Kluyveromyces lactis: one gene and its partner. The protein of the gene in region 1 interacts with the protein of each later gene in a biochemical or structural test. Links are inferred from orthologs where the notes say so. Each region holds a gene or a part of one and is shown on either strand. Other genes may lie near its edges.

Evidence for each region.
Region 2: the proteins of GET3 (region 1) and MDY2 form a complex in vitro, tested with the Saccharomyces cerevisiae proteins (2 studies listed by BioGRID). The link is inferred for Kluyveromyces lactis from reciprocal best matches to the Saccharomyces cerevisiae genes GET3 and MDY2.

What each region holds. Positions count from the first base shown.
Region 1 is NC_006041.1:143,604-146,638, reverse strand, and holds GET3 (guanine nucleotide exchange factor GET3), read right to left. Parts: upstream 1,873-3,035; coding exon 823-1,872; downstream 1-822. Other genes in the region: ATG16 (Atg16p), read left to right, coding at 1-370; BUG1 (Bug1p), read left to right, coding at 2,426-3,035. UniProt on the Saccharomyces cerevisiae protein: ATPase required for the post-translational delivery of tail-anchored (TA) proteins to the endoplasmic reticulum. Recognizes and selectively binds the transmembrane domain of TA proteins in the cytosol.
Region 2 is NC_006037.1:674,394-677,018, forward strand, and holds MDY2 (Mdy2p), read right to left. Parts: upstream 1,412-2,625; coding exon 776-1,411; downstream 1-775. Other genes in the region: Rab GTPase-activating protein MSB3, read left to right, coding at 1-664; SHR5 (Shr5p), read left to right, coding at 1,639-2,415. UniProt on the Saccharomyces cerevisiae protein: Required for efficient mating. Involved in the production of alpha-factor, the KAR9 and TUB1 location to the shmoo tip and nuclear migration into pheromone-induced shmoos.

The DNA of each region.
Region 1 (3,035 bases):
GTTGCTAGATAAATTGAAAGTTAGGGATTTGGTTGATAAGAGATTTTCGCATCTTTTCGAAACGGTCTCACTTCTGTCTGGAGATAATGAGGAAGATAACGAAGACCAACTACGACTTAAAAACAGCATAAAGAATCTAAGGGAACATCTTACGGAAAAGGAAGAGGAAATAAGGCAACTACATGATGTTATTAGTGTAAAAAATCGAGATGCTGAGCGTTTGAATGACGAATTGATCAGCATCAACATAGAAAACAATCTTTTACAGGAAAGGTTGACACACATTCAAGCAGAATATGACACCTTGATTGAACGATGGTTACTAAAAGCACAAAGAGAGGCCGATATCATGAATACGAGACTTAAATAGATATGACATACTCTATATGCCTCAAGTTATAAATGAGTTGCGAGTTTTATAAGTGATTTGAAGTTAATTCCCTGCGACTCAATGGTACATCAAATCCCAAGTGCATGAAACTCTTTAAAAATTCAGTTTTCCAAGAAATTTGCTTCAGTAGCTCAGTCGGAAGAGCGTCAGTCTCATAATCTGAAGGTCGAGAGTTCGAACCTCCCCTGGAGCATTTCAATTTACCAAAATTTTTTTAGCTTTCGGATCTTTTCGTTTACTATCACGAAGCCTGAAGTAATAATGTTTTCATGTTGCAACTAAAGTAGATGTTTAATGCTACATTATAGAGGCTAATTCGATGCAATGATTCAATTTAGAATCTGCTCTGCAATTATTTAGTGTACAAATAATAAAAAATTATAGATTGGCCGTGTAATGCTAGGTATCAATGATTCATATTTATCTTCCTTTCAGTCTTGTTGTTCCAATTCATAAATCACTTTGCTGTCTGCAACTGGATCGTATGGTTTTCTCAAGAATTGGGAGAATTTTTTCAAGTTGTTTAAACCTCTAATTTCACCTGCACACAATGGCATCTTAACGATATGGAAATCTTCGTACAATTCATCAATTTGGTCCAAATACTTCTTTTGCATCTTCCATCTGGATTGGCACCTTTTACAGCTGTCTCCTTCGTCATACTCAGCAAATAATAACTGGTTTACAATGATGGAGTTCACGTCCATATCGTATGAGATCAATTCCTGTACCAATCTTTCAGTTTCGTACAAAGACAAGAACTCACTGATACAAACACAGACAAAAGTTGTCATATCAGGATTGGTGAATTGTTCCTTGATTTTTTCCACATTAGACTTCAATTCACTCATTTTACCAACAAGATCGACGTTATTGGCACCAGCCAAAGAATTCAACATTGGTCCCAATCTTGCAGTGATTTCTCCGAATTTCTCCAAGAGTTTAGATAGAGTGCTTGGTAACTGTAAAAACCTTAGAGTGTGACCTGTTGGTGCGGTATCAAAAATAACGGTATCATACCTGTCACCTTCACCCTGTTCTTGGTTTTTGATGTGTTTCATCACTTCCATGAAAGAAAGTGCCTCATCAATACCTGGAATCGATCCTGTCAATTCAGATAGTGCACCACCTTGCAAAAGATCACTGAACTCTCCCGATCCAGTTGCATTATTGGCAACAGCCATATCATTCATATCCTTCAAAGCGGCAGAAGGGTCAATCTCCATACATGACAAGTTGTTCATCCCAGTGACTTTTCTTGCATCTTTACCAAACTTCTCACCGAAGGCGTCGCTTAAATTGTGTGCAGGATCTGTAGAAATCAATAGATATTGTTTCTCTGGTTGTGCCAAAGCCATTTGAATGGCAATCGAACAAGATGACGTCGTCTTACCGACACCACCCTTACCACCGACAAATATCCATCTGTGTGTTGAGGAAGTTATCAAAGAGTTTAGATCTGGTTCAACTGTTAAATCCATTGTACTTTTCCGCTTTACTTGGTCTCAGGTTTACACACTTACTGATTGTTATTCCTACAGTTGAAATAAGAGGGCGTCTTAGTTGTAAAACTTCTGTTTATCTACGCATGTCGCCACTAAAAGTGACAACAAATGCTAAATATCTTGCTGAAGACTTCTTCTACGTTCTTTTAAAGAACACGTCACTATATACGGTGGTGATAATAATTTGATATTTACCAATCGCATACCGAATAATAAAGAACATGGTACAAATACTTTGAGTTTGCTTCTCAAAAAGTCTTGAATCTTGTTCTCTTTCGAACCTAAATGGCTTTGAAACATTGTGAAATTAAACGATATTATTTGATCGATGTTTGCCTCAATGATGGTGATTCCTTTCTTATTAAATATGTGTGAACCATAACGACACGTTTAGATCAAAAAAAAAAGTTGCCCCATATGAAATAAGAATTTACATGGTGAATGCCAAATCTGAAACAATTGCGAGCTAAATATTAAAACCAATTGGCGTCTTCAATGCAAGTGAGTACACACATTCGAACAGTTGATTATGTCTGAACTATCCCCCGAGGAAGAAAGAGCCAGAAAGCTCGAAGAAGCCAAGATAAGGGTTGAAGAGTTAAAGAAGAAGAATAAAAACAAGAAGAATAAGAAGAAGAAGGACAAGGAAGATCTTGAAGCAGCTGAAGTCAAAACTGAAACTGAAACTGAATTGGAACCGACTGATACTAATGTATCAGAGAGTCCGGTTCATTCAGATGAACAACCAATCGTGGAAGAGACAAAAGCTGAAGAAAAGGCTGAGATAAATGCTGATGCAAAGGGCAATGACAACAACGAAGAGAAGTTTGAAAAGGAGTCTGTGGAGAAGTCTGAAAAAGAGTCTGCGGAGAACAAGAAAGACTCCGAGGAGGAAGTCCTCGAGAAGGAAGCAACTGATATACCCAACCCAACCGAGGAAGTGTCTAAAGAAGCTTTTGCAGTTCAACAAAAAGAGGAAGAACCAATAGAGGCAAAAAGTACAGATGAAGTTGAAGAATTGTTTGGCGGGAATGATGATAAAGAGAAAGATTTCCTTTCGACGATACAAGAACAGAAAAGCCAAGATGAAGTAATAAACCTCAAGGAAGAAGTTTCAAAGCTAAAAGATCAAGTAAAGC
Region 2 (2,625 bases), on another chromosome or scaffold:
ATGCATAAAAGAGTATCTGCCACACTTTTGGCAAAGAATATATTCCAATAAAGATCAACAACACAGTCCCGGCCTATCCAATAAGAACGAATTTCTCTATAAGTTGCCACCAGTCACACTCTGTACTGCCAGTTGGTTCATGAGCTGTTTCATAGGAGTAGTACCTATTGAAGCTACCTTACGTATATGGGATTGTCTCTTCTATGAGGGTTCACACATTCTTTTCAAGATGTCGTTAGCGATCATCGAACTAAGCGAGACCAATTTACCAAAATTAAATCACGTTAGCAGCCGAAACTCAGACGATGAAGACATGGAATTATTCCAAGCTATTCAAACATACCCTAGACGGTTGATAAACCCCAACGATATTATAGACAAAGCCATCTTCAAGAGGAGATTGAGATTCAATGCACTCAATCAAGAGGAAATCGAACGATGTAAGAAGTACGTTATCTCTCAAAGAGCCAAATACAAGAACTTCCAAGATGTAATGAAGAATGAAACCACCAACTCCAATAATAAGAGAGACTCCAAATTGGCACAGGAACTGATCAATGAAACCTTTTCTAACGAAGGATACGGATTCAAGAAGGGTTTAAATGGGGTAAATTGGAATAATAACATCAAAGAAAGAGTACGTAGATTGAGCAGAAAGAGGTAATTCTCTCATCACCAATGGAAGAAAGAGCAGAAATATCTAAAAGTATAAAATCACTACATATATAACCGGGTTGTTTTGCATTATGGACCAACAAATGACATGTTCTATCTTTTACTTACTCAACTCCCAACCTTTCTGTAGCCTTCCAAGGGCCACTGAGGCCGTGCTAGCATCCAAGCTACTCTCTAAAACGGTTCTAATTTTATCCCAAGGCAAATCAATATCTGTTTGAGATGAAAGATCCAACTGTGGATCCTCCATATCGACATCCATCAACTCAAGTTCAGGTTCAGGTTCCTGCGCTGGTTTCGGCAAAGGTGCTGTTTCCACAGGTTTCTCTGCTTTGGAAACCATTGCGACAAGGGATATTTTATCCTGGTTCAAATCGGAGACCAATTGAGTGTCGTGGAGGACTTTACCCTTTAACAACAACTTGATTTGACCAGTTGTATATATCTCAGGCTCGGTTTCCACTAAGAATTCCTTGATCTGACCCACGGTATCGGTAGATTCGAAGCTTTTGGAATGAACAAATTTAGGCGCTTTGATCGATTTGATGGTAACTTCTACAACTTTAGAGATACTCTTAGAATGTGATTTACTTGGATCATATTTGTACCTCAATGGGGGCAACGAAACACCAAGGTTTGTAACTTCATGTAATGGTTTGCGGTAGTTCGATGCAAGTTTTGGCTCATTCAAAGCGGCCAAACTCAAAAATTTACCAACGAAATCAAGTTCAGACATGATTGGAGGTGGGATGTGCGATATTGTAGTAGTTTAGTTCCTTATACTCCCTTATACATCTCTTCATTAGATGTCTAACTTGTGTTAGTGTTAATCTGAACATAAATATCAATTCCGTTAAATTTATTTCAATTCCTACATAAAAGGGTAAAAACACGAACGATATCAGATCAATACGGGAAATAAGAGGTAGAAACGGCATTCTACCAGGTAACATTGCAACACAAATGGTATCACTGGTACTGGCAGATACTGCAGACAGTTCAGATCTATCTAAAGCTGCGATTACCGTTGAAGAATCAACTTCTGCACAACAACCGAAATTCTTCAATTACCATGAATTTGTGATTACAAAGTACAGAGCACTAGATGAGGAATCATGCGAAGAGCATGGACCTGAGAATCCAATCTGCATCACCCATTTTCCAAACATATACGTACCTGAAGAAAGCGATGAATTTAGAACCACTAGAGTCGTTCGAATTCCCAGAAGGTTTGAGTCATCCACAGAATTTCCTAATTTCAGCACACAGTTACCTGGGTCTGAACCAGCAGCCTTACCAGATACTCACAACAAGGAGTTCGTTCCGGCAGGAGAGTTTGAAGGCCAATGGTATGGCGAAACGTCAGTGAGCCCATTATCAAACTATTTGGATCAAGCGGAATGGACTGAAATTGTAACTCGAATCAATTCACTCTTAGAGGCTGCATACAACCCAATAACCAGAAGAAATTTTGTCAACGTCATATTGGACCTCTTGACACTGAACTTATGGAGTATCATCGAGCCATACCTGTTCGTTAACCCGTTGCAATCAGTTGAAGACTATGTCTCGGAAATCAATCGATCGGAATCGTTCAGATTGAAGGGCATAAAGATCATTCCGCCCCGAGAAAGCTCATATCTATCGGTATGTATAGATAGCCCAGCATGGATTAAACCATGCACAGCCATAAATGAACCCTTACTAACCCATTGTGACACCCTTATCGTCCTTCTTTAACCAGCTTGATGTTGTAACACCGATGCCCAATCACTGTTGACGGCGTTGAAACCTTTAAGGAAACATGCAAAGGAAACAAAGCAAAGAATGACACTTTAATAACCACCACATGACTGATTTGCTTGAAAGGATTCTGTTGATGTGGTCTAATCAACCTATAAAGGGCACGAAGCATAGCATCAGATAATAAGCTTACATACGCTTTGCTCT